Caenorhabditis elegans: one gene and its partners. The protein of the gene in region 2 purifies or fractionates together with the protein of the main gene of each other region. This does not show direct contact. Each region holds a gene or a part of one and is shown on either strand. Other genes may lie near its edges.

Region 1 (4,128 bases), on a different chromosome or scaffold from region 2:
TTCGAGAAAACAAATGAATAATTTGATTTTTTAAAGGAGGTCTCCGCTTTTGGCAGCGAAGCAGAAAGTGACACGGGAGATGATTGGACTGTGATTTGCAACGGAGATGAGTGGTTGGAATCCGAGGTTTGTTACATTCCTTTTCGATATTATCTATACGTTTTGAATACCCTATATTGTTCACTTTAGCAATTCAAACTTCGCCACGCTGTCACTGGTTCATACCTCTCACTCTCGGGACAACAATTCGGACGCCCCATTCATGGACAACGGGAGGTCGTCGGCACCGACTCGATCACTGGTGGAAGTGCATGGAAAGTTGCCGAAGGCATTTACATCAAGCATCAGCAAAAAGATCTTTAAATCCACATTGGATACTCCTAATTTAATAAGCCATGCCTTTCTTCGTGATATTTACCATTGCTTTACGGGGATGTTATCTTTGTTATTTTTTCTAATAAAGTTATTAGATTTTGTCTTCTGAAAAATTATTGGCAACTGATCTAAATACCGGGGATAAAATACTACATTGATGCACAGAAAAATAAAAGACCGAATAAATTAAATGTATATGATGCGATAGGGTAAAAGAAAAAGAGATTGGTGGAGAAGTGGACATGAGGATACAATCAATGTTCTGAGTTTGTTTATCACTTCTTTGGAGTATTAGGGGTTGATGATTTACTGTCCTTTTCCTTTTTCTCATCCTTCTTTTCATCCTTTTTGTCTTTCTTATCCTTTTCATCCTTCTTTTTCTCAGCTTCGCCAGTTTCCTGCTCCTTTTCAGCCTTCTGGAGAGAGATCTAAAAATCATAGCTTTTAATAAATTTTAAAATCTTTGCAAATCACCTTGTTATCAATTAAGTTGTGCAAAGCGACCACCGATCGTACAAGAGATCCCATATACACACACATGAGCTGATCATTAGTTTGCACATTCTGTGAAACAATGTAGTCTGGATGAGTGACGTCAGGCAGGAGATTGAGAACTTCTTGAACATAGTAAATGACATGATGGTTGACTGGAAGAGTTCCGCGCACAATATCATGAAGATACTTCTCAATGGATTCAAGCTGTGATTGCAGTCCTCTCAAGCCCATAAGTTGATCGGTGATACGCTGTGAAAGAGTTCCAGCAGTTTGGTCCTTGATATCTCTCAAAAGATGCTCGACTCCAACTTCCTCAGCTTCTTCGGCTCCGATATCTGAAGGCACATGCTCGAAGGTTTTGATTGGTGGAGTTCCATCCTACAAAACAATATATTGAAAAAAAATTAAACAGTATTTTGAAACGTACATCGTGAACTTCCTGAACTTCGATGTAAGCCTCTGTTGGCAATCCGATGTTCTTTGGCTCAGCATCGATAATTACAAGAACCGGGTTCGGGCAGAATCGTTTCAATTGCTCGTTGATAGCAATATCGTTCTGTAAAATTAATAAATAAATAATTAATTAAACTGTTGAAGTTGAACACCGTAATTTTGCAAAAATCAGGGTGGCACAGAAAGTAAGGCGGAGCGTAATTTCGCAACACTGTGACACGGTTTTTTCTTTTTTTTTTGTCAGGTATCCACTGCATTTTTTTCGATTTTTTTCAAAAGTTTTGATTTGATTTGTTTTAAGTTTTTTTTTTTTTGCTTTGTTGTTATTTGCACAGTATAATTTCAAATTTAAACAAGTTCGCGCTCCATCGATCATGAAACCGTAAAAACGGGTATCAGAACGGATATTATCGGTTCATAGAGATTCAGAGCCCAGTGATCCGTATGCAGTCATCACAAACCCGAGTGGAATGAGAAATCGAACCAATGGCTGGAGGCGCAGAGTGTGTGCCTGCTAGCCACTAGACCACTACGCGCGTTGTCCCCGTCTCTTTTTTGCCTCTTATATACCTTGTGAAGTTTTGGACCCGTATGATACCATCCGACGATTTTTTCCTTGGCGGCAACCTGTAAATTCATTTTTTTTGTTTAAAATTAAATAAAAACGAGATTTCAAAATTCACCAACCTTGTAGAACATTCCATACATGCTCTCCAAATAGTCCATGTCGAGGAACCATGTACTTTTATCCTTGTCATCTTCATCAAACGGAACTGAAAATTACTTTATAAGTAAGCAAATAAATTTTTAAAAATACCAGCAAAACTGTTTCCAATATCCAGAGTTTTGTCCTTTTTCATGGACCCCAAAAGGACTCCAACAACACGCTTCACGCTTTGAGTTTTGCTGACACGATTGAAATGATCAACAACACTCAGAAGAACCAATGGATGGACGGTCACCTTAAATAATTGTGTTTATTTAAAATCGAATTTTCTCGCTCAGGTATGCTAACCTTATTAACGGGAAGGTTTGCATGAACATTTCCAAGGCAATGATGGGCTCCAGCCTTTTGTTTGAGAACATCTACAGCTTTGACAGTCGCCACATCTCCGTCTTTGTTAGTTGGAGCCATTCTTCTAAAAAACGAAAATAAATTTATCACAATAAAAAATCAACACATAACAGTTTAACACGTTAATAATCGACATAACAGTGAGAAACGCTTAATCATTGCGGAAAAACCTGCCATAAACGTATCTAGAATATAATTTGAATGAAAAAATGAAAAGAAATAAATAAATAATGCTTAAAAACGACAATTTCCCGCTTCCCGTTCAAAAAAGAAATATCATCGTTTAAAGGCGCATGCAATTTCCCCGTAAATCGACACTGGCCGTGGTGAGACCCATCCCGTATTTCCACTTTATTTTTCCTGGTTCTTTACTTTAAAATTAACTTTTTTCGATTGCAATGACGGAAAATTAACTTTCTAATGCGAAAAATTGAAAATTGAACATTTATTTTATTGTTCTAGTAAATTTTTGTTTAATAATCTTGTGTTCACAGCCTGTCGTTGAAAAATGGCAACTTCCTATTTTGGAAAAATAGCTTGTGCTGTGATTTCTTATCGTGATTTTCATTGACATATTTCCAAATTCGTAGCATAGAAAATATTTTCAGTGAAGAAAAAGCATTCATACTGGGCGAGAACAACAATGCCGTTTTATGAAGTGAGCATGATCACACGATCTCTGTCAAAGGTACAGAAAAAACACGATGAAGCGTGAGAATGTGTATAATCATGAGAATATTCTTTATTTCAGGCAGATCTTGTTAAAGCTTTAACGCGTGCTGGAAACACTTTGCTGGATCACGGAGCAGTAATTGAAAAGGTTGAGTCACTGGGTCATCGAGATTTACCGTATAAACGGCTGGCCAAACAGACAAATGAGCCCGTCTACGCTTCAAAGTAATATTTAAAAACTATATATCTTAAAAAAATTGTTTGTTCTTTGCAGTTTCTTCCTCTTCAAGGCGCACATGTCTCGGGAAGCTAGACAGAAAACAAAGTCTATTTTGACACATGACCTGGACACGGTGAGTTAGTTAAATTTCATTATATATTATCTGATGTTGATGTATGATCGGGTCTTATTGTTTAAAAGTTTTCTTTGTTTAGATTCATTTCGAATGTTGTTTTGTTCTTTTTCTAAATTAATTTGTCACTTTTTGGTCATTACAAAAATCTGAACCATATTTTTTCAGGTTCAAGTCGATCTAATTCAAGTGGACACACTGCCGGCTCCAAAGGTTGAATGCAATCTGGAAGAAATCCTCAAATCTCCTGCCGAACGTCAAGCAGTCAAGGATTTGAGAGAAAATCAAAAGATGGGTCATTTCACGCGACAGATGATCTACAAACGTACTGAAAAGGAGTGGAAGAGTATCCCGAAGAGTTACCCAATTGCTCCGCCAAGGCCCTAGACATGAAATTCGTAATCGACTTAAATTTACGGGTCGAAGATCGCCGACAATGCACTTTTGGCCACACCTCCTTATGATAGTGTTATCAAACGAGGCTATCTTTTCGTACTTTGCGTTGTCTGTTTTCTCGATTCTTCTGTACAGTTTTAGGATTTATAGAGTGATTTTTGTTTTCTTAAAGTTGAATTGATTTGTTTTGTTTCATGAATATCACATTTTTATTTATTTATTTTTCTTCCTTCAAATCACGTACCTGGTTCATCTGACCAAGTGATATTTGTTCACTTTTCTATTGAAAGAAAATAACCTGTTTCACAT
Region 2 (5,146 bases):
CGAGGCTGAATTAGAACAAATTCAAAGTCAAATGAAAAATCGTTTTATTGCACTATTTGAATGTATCAGATTAAAACAAAGATTTGAGGAAAAGGAAGAAAAAGTTGCTGATTGGATTCAAAATTGCTATAAGCAACCGATCAAGAGATTCCTAGAATATTTTCGAGATTTTCAGAATGTGGTAATTTGCATTTGCTAGTGTTTAAACATAATTTTTTTAAACATTTAGGCGCGTGAATGGAAATATTTTAAACGCTTACCGTCGGAATCACTTCAAGATGCATATGAAGAAATATCAATTCTTTCAGAATGTGTATTAAGCCTATTTGATACTCTTGAGTTTCTGTTTATCCAACTCGGTGAACAACATGACATAGCTACAGATGCATTATTCATCAAAGTTCTACAGGTACTCTCGTGTGTATTATCTTTCCAATGAAAATCCAATTTTCAGAAAAGTATAATTGATTTTGCACTTGTTTTATCATCGATTCTGAATATTCTTGATGTGAACGCCCCGTCCCACGAATGGTATAAACAACTCGAAAAGTTGTTTTTTATGATAAAGCTCAGTGACATTCCGACAACAACATCACTACGAAAAATTTGCAAAAAAGCCGTCGTTTCCAACTATGAGCAGTTAGAATTCCCGAAGATACACCTCAAGAGTTACGTCGTGATCCACGAACAAGACAATGTTCAAGCAGAAGAAGTTTGTACTTCTGAAAGTAAATGTGTTATTTGTTAAGTGATATAGATAATTTATATTTATATTCACTTCATACATACATATGTATTTACAAATTATATTCACTGAATGAAAAATTGATTTCTTTTAATCGACATACTTCGATGCCTTCAGAATCACAAATAAATTATAGAAACTTAGAGAAATTTAAACAAGTTTCTTGCCTTTGGAGGAAAATTGAAAACATCCAAAAAGTATGATATTTTCAAGGCAGTTTTCTACACACCGTCTCTGTGTTCATCAAACATCGGAGATCTGCTTTCATTTTCCGTGTTCAAAACAGTGTTTCGTAAATCTACTTCGTCTCTTTCAACAACCCTATCTATCCTATCAACCTATCGCTGGTTAGTTTTGACAAAATTAGGGAAGAGTCTAATGTTCAACCTAATCAGTTTTGCAGAAGGTAGAAAACAGAGTTGAACTCACATTGAGACGTCGTAGAGAATAAAACATTTAAAAAGTGAAATCGTGGTTTTTATAATCTCTCAAGTTTCGAATATGTTTTATCATGATTTGTTTTCTTCTAACTGTGGAACTTTTTTTGCAATTTATTTGGAATGAATTTTTGTAAGATGTTGAAATATGTACACAAATCTTAGCTATCTTTTAGCTATTGTAAGTAATTGTAAATGAATGTTTGGGGTTATAATAATTACTAAAAAAAACGTTTTTAAGATGCTGAAAATGATGTTATAATCTTTATGAGTTTTTGAGTGAGTTTTTATTGAAAAAAAAACACTCAGAAGTGGAAGACTCCATAATTATACTTGTGAGCATGATTTTATGTTTTGAAGACAAAAATATTGTGTTCTCAAAATAAAAAAGATTTGTTTAGTTGTGTGATCAACATTAATTTGTAAACAATCTTATCAGCATCTCTCTCGCGTTTTAGTCATAGCAATTCGTAGCGTTTGTTCTTTCGAAAAACGTTTCTCTCATTTTCTTGAAAGTTTCTTTGCTCTTTGAACGTTTCTTCGCTAATTTTGAATGTGTTCAGGAATGTGTGGTAAAACAATTCTTCTTGAAGTGACTCCCTGCGACAATTTTGTGTTCAATAAATCAACAAATCTGACTGATACTGCCTATGTTACTCTGAAAAATATATCTGAGAAACCAGTATGTTTCAAAGTGAAAACGAGTGTACCAAATATGTATGTCAGTCGACCAAATCCTGGTAAGTCACATTTATTAGAAAACTTTTCTCAAAAAATTACTTATGTATTAGGGTGAGCAATAAGTTTTTTCGTATTTTCTCAGTTTTCATCCTTTCTCAAATATTTTGTATGTGGTACATAGTATTCTGTTAGTAGTGCGAAATATATTGATACCATATATTTCCGCCCACTTCCAAACTGATTCATCCTCAAAACTTCGCTCGAAAAAAATATCCAATTTTTTCGATTTTTTCGGATTCTTTGGGAAATCCAAATGTCAGTACTCCGTGAGGTATTAGACCATTAGTTGTATACATAATATTAATTAAATTCAGAACTGAGCAGTATTAGATACCTTTTTCCCTTTTTGTTCAAAAATATAAAAAATATTACAAAAAATTACAGCAAAAAAAATACATTTTGATTTTGAGAGGGTATAAAACCGACATCGTAAAAAAATATAAGTACGGATGAAACTGCAATGTTGTTCTTCAGATTAATAGCAACATTTCTGCAGTTGAACACTTTTTGATATCTAAAACCAGTAAAAAGTGACAGGCTATTTAGTCAGAGGCACTCATTTTCGCTGAATCTGCCACATTCTTACGTTTGCCTACGTAGTTTTGTTAAATCTGAATTTATCAAAAACATTTTTCACAAAAACGACCAAACTTGTTGAATATGAAATCACAACATGTAATAATGTGTTTTTTGTTTTTGTCTTAACTTGATTTTTGCAATACGTGCAATTCGCAAAGTTATCTTAAAATTTTTTTTTCTCGAATTTTTTTGATTCAAATTTAGAGAAATTTTCTCAATCTTTGGTGTTTTTTGTTCCAACGCTTGTAACTTCCTGGATAACATTGTTATCAAAAACTGATCAACTGAAAAGTTGTGCACAAATATGTAATAAACAACATTGCAGTTGAACACTTTCTGATAAATTAAGATTTAACAAATCTACGGAGGCAAATGTAAGAATGTGGCAGATTCAGCGAAAATGAGTGCCTCTGACTCAATAGCCTGTCACTTTTTACTGGTTTTAGATATCAAAAAGTGTTCAACTGCAGAAATGTTGCTATTAATCTGAAGAACAAGATTGTCGTTTTATCCGTATTTATATCTTTTACGATGTCGGTTTTATACCCTCTCAAAATCAAAATGTATTTTTTGTAATATTTTTGAACGAAGGAAATTTAGTAAAATTTGGATTTCCCAAAGAATCCGAAAAAATCGAAAAAATTGGATATTTTTTTCGAGCGAAGTTTTGAGGATGAATCAGTTTGGAAGTGGGCGGAAATATATGGTTTCAATATATTTTGCACTACTAACAGAATACTATGTACCACATACAAAATATTTCAGAAAGGATGAAAACTGAGAAAATACGAAAAAACTTATTGCTCACCCTAATAAATACAATTTGAATCTACTGCTTCAGATTTGCTGAAACCTGGAGAAGCGAGGCAATTATCTGTCAAGTTTCGATCGAGCGACAAAGTTAGCCTGAACGCAAAATCATACAAGCTCAAAATAGAATCATGTGAATTTGAATCTGAAGATATTGATGATTTGAAAAGTTTCTGGAGCAGCATCCCTAATGAGAAAATACTTGTCCATAAGTCACCTATTATTCTTGGGACTGGAAGCAGCCCAGATTTTAGAAATGATCAAATTGCATCGTGAGTTTTCGTTTTTCTTAATTGAAATATCTTAAGAGAGATCTACTTCAACAATAATTTTTTTTAGAGAATCTTCGAGACAATCATCTCCTATTCAAAATGTTTCTGATGATGGCAAAAGTTCACATCATTCAACAGCCAAACAATTACAAGAAAATAATGAAAATTCAAAGAGCTTAAAGGTTGTGTTAATTTGTTACCTAAAAATAACAATCATAGTTTTAGTATACTAAACAACTGGTTGAAGTGCCTTTAGGCGAAAATCAACAAGCTGATCAAACTGGAACCACCTGTGATAAAAAAGACGAGTTTCAAAAAAAAAATCAATTGGAAGTTGAGGTTAAAATTAAAAAATATATTATTTTTAAAAGTTCTTTTTATAATTTTTTTTGCAGATAAAATTTGTGGATAAAATTCATGAGATCAAGTCCCAATTAGAAGACAGTTTTGAATTAAAATTGAAAGAAATGGAAATGAGACTGGAGGAAAAGTTCGAAAAAAGGATATCAAGATTAACACAATTTATGGAAACAATAAGTTTGTCAAATAGTCCTGGGAACTCTAGACGCGTTTTTGAATTGGACGATAATTTTTCAATAGTCGCAAAAAAGGAATTGGAACAAATGCGACAAGATTTCGAAAAAGTGCTAGATGGGCAGAACAAAATAGCAGAAGAGAAAATGAATGAGTTGAGGAAAAGAAGAGAGGAGCTTCAAGTATGAATTTAATTTTCATTTGAAAGAAAAGTAAAGTTGTTGCGTGGTTTGTTTTTAACTTTGAACGCCCAAGTTTTTTTACCGAATTTAAAATTTTAAGGTTTTTTATTGAAAAAAAATCAATTTTCAATTTTGTATTCGAATAGAAACTTTAAAATTATTCAAGGGCCAGACCACCAAAAACATGCATTATTACAGAGAGAATCAGACGAATTGAGAACTATGGAGGAACAACTTGGCATAACGGAAAGAATCTTCTGGGCGAATTGATAAGAAATTACTGTTTTTTTTATTTACAAATTTTAATAAAATTTAGAACTTTTTGGAAGATTATAACAATTTAAACAATTGCCTTTTACATTTTCTCATATCAGGTGTAGATGACAACCGCATAAATGTTGGACAATGTGGTAAGATTTTCGCGGGACTTTACGAGGACTTATAAATAGAACACACCTGTTAATTTGATTGTATTTAACTGTAGATTCTGATTTTTGGTATTGTACATATGATAGTTCTACCGTTTTGTTTGTTTTCCAGTGAATATTTGTTGCAGATAGAAGATAAACTTTCATTATTCATAGTTTAGACATAAGACATAAACCCCTCCCAAATTTAATGAAAGTGTGAGATGATTGATTTTTCTTTCGGTATTTCTCACATTTTCAATAAATTCTTTCTCATACCTATTTCATGTACACAAACTCTTATCGAAAACACAATTTAGACGTAGCAATACATTTCACTGTTCTCTATCTCTCTTCAGTCACTAACTTCATTAGTTTCACTGCAAAACAAAAAGTATTCCAGAAAAATGGTCCAATATTTTTGTTTTGATGCAGAAAT
Region 3 (4,341 bases), on a different chromosome or scaffold from region 2:
TCTCAAAAATCTCAAGATTTCGTATAAAATAGGATTTTCCAGGGTAAATCACGCGATGCCAATGTACAAGCTGACACCGACGTTCCCACCGAATTTTGAGGTTCATCCGAAAATCGCCTGCTATCCAGTAGGTTCGTATCATAATCCATCTTTCGGAGGAGTCGGGCCTTCTGATGCGGTGCAGGTAATAGACGGATTTTGGCTCAAAAAAAACTGAAATTTCAGGTAGAATCCGATCCGCGCAAGGCTTTGGAGCACAAACAGCTCTCACTGATCGAGCAGCTCAAAGCACAGACCGAAGAGCTCAAGAAGTTGCTGGTAAGCCTTGGAGAGGCTGGAAAAGCAGAGAGATCTGCTCAAAAACCTGCGGAAAAAGCGCCAAAAGAGCCTGAGAAATCCGCTGGAGCAGCCTCTTCAGCTCCCGGAGTCCCCGGAGCCCCCGCAAAACTAGACAAGGACGCCAAGAAGGAGGCTCGCAAGGCTGCCAAGGCAGAAGCCGTAAAGAAATTGGCTTCCGGAGAGGCTCCACCACAGAAATCCGCGAAAAAGACCGTAAATTCGACTCCATGGACCGTCCAGGACGACCGAAAGACGTGGGAGACCAATCTGACTCTCACCGTGAATCTCCCAACCTCCCTTGTGGCCTACGAGCCGCAGGAGCAGCTGAAAAACGCCACGCTGACAGTGCGGGACGTGGATTTGCCGTGGGCTCGGGCTCTCGCAAAGGTCGGCGCAAGCCGTGGAGTCTCGTTTGAGGGAGAAGTCAAAAATCAGACGAAAGAGAAGAAATCCAGTCTGAAAGTTGTGAAAGGTGCGGGATTTTTTCTCTAAAAATCAGAATTTTATGATATACCCTTAATTTTCAATATTTTCAGGCCCTGCTCCCTCCCTGCAATTGGAAAAAACTACCGTCAAATCCCTTCAAACTATCTGGAAGCTGTTGGGCTCTTCACTCGGGCTCTTCTCTAGACGGCCACAACAAGTGCTCAGCGCCAGTCATCAAGCGATTTGGCTGGGAAAAGTAGGAAATTTTAGAAACTTTCCCAAAAAAATCAAATTTTCTTTCAGGCCGAGCAAATCCTTGCCGGCTCCTGTGATCAGAGCTTTGTCACACGTGAAGCTTCTCAGTTCCTGGCTCGTTTCGACTCGTTAAGCTCTCAATGGGAGGTGTGTGTCGCTGATATTGTGTTCAGAAGCCTTCTGAACCTTGGGGAGCACCTTCCGAACAATGTGGAGTTGTGGGCTAAGAAGATTGACGCTTTGATTGTTTAGATTTGATTTATTGATGTTTTTATTTGATTTTCTCGGTTTAAATGAATTATTTTGCATTTTTATCTGATTTTTTCGTTTAAGAAACAAATTTTTTGCTTTAAAAATTCAGTTTACAATTACAACGATACTCCAAAATCCCGCAGCGCGCCCTGTTTACCGTAAATCTACACCATAGAATTTCAATTTAAATTCTGTCTTTCTTTGTTTTTTTCGCGATTTTCACCGATTTCCGCAGATTTTTTGCACTTTTCTCATCATTTTTCATCGAAAACTCAACATTTTCATCCAGGAACCAGTATGAGCGACGCTAAAAAAAAGGCCGCCGCCGAGCTAGCCGCGAAAAACCTCGCACAACTCCAGAAAATCGACATCGCCGCCAGCAAGATTCTCGACAAGGTTTAACATAGAGAATTGTGGATTTTAAAGCTAAAAATTGGTTTTGTAGATGCCATTTGCCGCGATTTATCATATCGATGCGGCGAGAAAAGAGTGGAATCAGTCGAATTGCGAAGGAACATTTTTCGTCTATCAGAGAGCTGATCGGCCATATTTTAGGTGAGAAGAAGCAAGAAAACATGCAAAAATAGCTAAAATAATCAATTTTAAACTTATTTATTTCAGTTTCCTCATCGCAAATCGCAACGATCCATCGGATTTCATCGAGCCGCTCACCCTCAACCATATTCTCCGCCACGACGGAAATTTCATCTACTTTTACAAGGATTTGGCCTCAATTCAAGCACTATGGTTCCACCAGATTGATGATGCTCAGAAAATCTACAATTTGTTGCAAAAACTCGTGAATCGTCTGAAAGGAAGCACTACGGAGCAGGCTCGGGCCGCCAAGGCCGCCTCGGAGGCTCCACAGGCTTCGGTTCCGGCTCCAACGCAGGCTCCAGCAGCTCCAGCTCAAGCTCCACAAATGGCTCCTCAAGCCCCACCAAAAGTGGATCTTCTCCAGCTCATAAAAAGTGCGCAAAATCCGCCGCAAAAATCTGCGGCAACGATCGAACAAATGCCGCCAATGCTCCAGAAGCTGATGCTCAAAGAGCCGGGAGCAGCAATGTCGGCCGATGAGCTCGAGAAGGATCTTATAAAGTCGGCAAAACCGCATCGGAATCATCTTTTGCAAGAATTTACTAACTCAACGTCGGCGATTTCGTTGGCGGCGGTCTCGACGAAGCCTTTGCATGGATCGGAGGGTGATGTGGAGTCGGATATTGCTGAAGGAGAGATTTTAGAGCCACTTGATGCTTCATTTGTCGTTGGAAGTGGTGAACAGACGCCTGTTCTCAATAAAGAACAGGTTGGAGCTGGAAAAACGTTTTTTTTTTGAGTGAAAAGCTCAGATTTTTTAGATAAAATCAATTAAAAACTGATTTTTCACGAGAAATCTCGAAAATTTACATGAAAAATCTTTATTTTAGTTGAAAAATTTTGTCAAAAATCCCATTTTTGCTCGAAATTGGAGCTAAAAAATGCGAAAAATCAGTTTTTTAACGGAAAATTCAGGTTTTCCAGCTAAAAATCTGCTTTCTCAGTGAAAATGAGCAATTTTTAAGCTTGAAATCGACTTTATTTGTTTTTCAACATGAAATTACGATACTTAAGCTGAAAATTTTAGGCCCAGGCTTAGGCTCAGGCCTAGACCTAGGTTCAGGCTCAGGCTTAGGCTTCTGCTTCGGCTTAGGATTAGGCTTAGGCTTATGCTGAGGCTCAGGCTTAGGCATAGGCCTAGGCTCAAGCTTAGTCTTGTCCTTTAGATTTAGCCTTGGGCTTAGGCGTAGGCGTAGGCCTAACCTTAAACTTAGGCTTAGGCATAGGCATAGGCTTAGGCTTAGTCTAGCTTAGGTATTGAAATCTCTTTTAAAAAAAGTACCGTTTTTTCCTAAAAATTATAAAAAAGCGGTAAAATTTCCGGAAAAAAGCGAAATTTATCTAAAAATCTCAGATTTTTGTGAAAAATCGTTAAAAATCACCGAAAACCCCCTAAAATTCAAATTTTTTCAGTTCATCTCAGCAATCGCCCACCTAATGCAAACCGACGACGAATTCGTTTCACAGATTCATCAAGCCTACGTCAGTGCACTCAATCGGCGTCTAAATATCGATTAATTTCCCATTTTTTCGACCTTTTTCTCATTTTTCTGCTAAAAATCCTAATTTTCCCCGATATTTCCCTGATTTCTTGCTGGTTTTTGAGTGAAAAAATCAAAATTTTCTCCGATTTTTTGCTAAGAAATTTTTTTTTCCGATTTTTCCTGTGAAGATTTCCAATTTTTTGCTCGAAAAATCCCATTTTCCCTCTATTTTTCCCACTTTCCATATTTTTTCAACGAATATTTTTTTGTGAATATTGTGTGATTCCTCCTGAGCCCTTTTGCTCATTTTTCCCCATAAAATTGTCCATATTTTGTTCACTGAATGGGTCTCCCTATTGATGATATCTCAAACCACACCGCCCTCCAAAAATTTTCGTTTTTTTAAATTTAAAATTCCCCATTTTCTCCACTTTACTCTAAACTCTTGATTGTGAAAAATAATAAAGGAAGTCGCGTCGAAAAAGTGCAGAAAGTTGGCTGAAGCTATCGAAAATTGTGGAAAGTTACTGATAATTGTCGAAAGTTGACGAAAGTTGTCGGAAATTGTCAAAAACGGCAAAACTGACGAACTTTTGTCAATATAGTAAACGTTTTCAAACACCGCCGACAAGTTGTAGAAAACTGCTGGCAAAATATTGCACGGATTTCTGGCTTCCCTCATAAATTGAAATGGAAGAGTTTGTCGAACTAGGCCATTTTGGTTCGGCCATATCTGGGGTAGATTTACGGCGCGTTGCGGCTCGATTTTAGTTGTAAAACTAAATGCATTTGTCCGAGTGGAGTGCACCACTTTCCCATGCGTTGTCCGGCGAGCGATTGTCAATGGAGCGCGAAAAATCCATTGAGGAAGGCCGGAACCCCGTGTATATTAATAGAATAAACATTTTCATGTATGCAAAATATGTGCACAAAAACTTTTAAAGAAAGTCGGCATCAATTTTCGTGTTGAGCCATTTGGAATAAAGAT

The links. Proteins that work in one complex are often made in the same cells at the same time.
Region 1: the proteins of ZC196.2 (region 2) and rpn-8 fractionate together in Caenorhabditis elegans (co-fractionation; one large-scale study listed by BioGRID). This does not show direct contact.
Region 3: the proteins of ZC196.2 (region 2) and dcap-1 fractionate together in Caenorhabditis elegans (co-fractionation; one large-scale study listed by BioGRID). This does not show direct contact.

The regions. Positions count from the first base shown.
Region 1 is NC_003279.8:4,173,653-4,177,780, reverse strand, and holds rpn-8 (26S proteasome non-ATPase regulatory subunit 7), read right to left. Parts: upstream 2,463-4,128; 5' UTR 2,459-2,462; coding exon 2,339-2,458; intron 2,286-2,338; coding exon 2,141-2,285; intron 2,097-2,140; coding exon 2,011-2,096; intron 1,951-2,010; coding exon 1,894-1,950; intron 1,785-1,893; exon of another isoform or gene 1,717-1,784; intron 1,427-1,716; coding exon 1,298-1,426; intron 1,249-1,297; coding exon 850-1,248; intron 804-849; coding exon 651-803; 3' UTR 510-650; downstream 1-509. Other genes in the region: R12E2.13 (MIR domain-containing protein), read left to right, coding at 37-126, 190-363; mrps-6 (Small ribosomal subunit protein bS6m), read left to right, coding at 3,042-3,086, 3,150-3,295, 3,345-3,423, 3,592-3,810.
Region 2 is NC_003283.11:8,737,690-8,742,835, forward strand, and holds ZC196.2 (Major sperm protein), read left to right. Parts: upstream 1-1,746; 5' UTR 1,747-1,747; coding exon 1,748-1,922; intron 1,923-3,343; coding exon 3,344-3,584; intron 3,585-3,651; coding exon 3,652-3,766; intron 3,767-3,809; coding exon 3,810-3,923; intron 3,924-3,979; coding exon 3,980-4,300; intron 4,301-4,498; coding exon 4,499-4,570; 3' UTR 4,571-4,622; downstream 4,623-5,146. Other genes in the region: ZC196.3 (DUF713 domain-containing protein), read left to right, coding at 1-181, 230-409, 455-748.
Region 3 is NC_003282.8:1,052,015-1,056,355, reverse strand, and holds dcap-1 (mRNA-decapping enzyme 1), read left to right. Parts: upstream 1-1,561; 5' UTR 1,562-1,569; coding exon 1,570-1,668; intron 1,669-1,717; coding exon 1,718-1,827; intron 1,828-1,893; coding exon 1,894-2,578; intron 2,579-3,282; coding exon 3,283-3,387; 3' UTR 3,388-3,832; downstream 3,833-4,341. Other genes in the region: Y55F3AM.13 (FH2 domain-containing protein), read left to right, coding at 56-184, 226-811, 876-1,021, 1,069-1,272. UniProt on the Caenorhabditis elegans protein: Component of the decapping complex necessary for the degradation of mRNAs, both in normal mRNA turnover and in nonsense-mediated mRNA decay.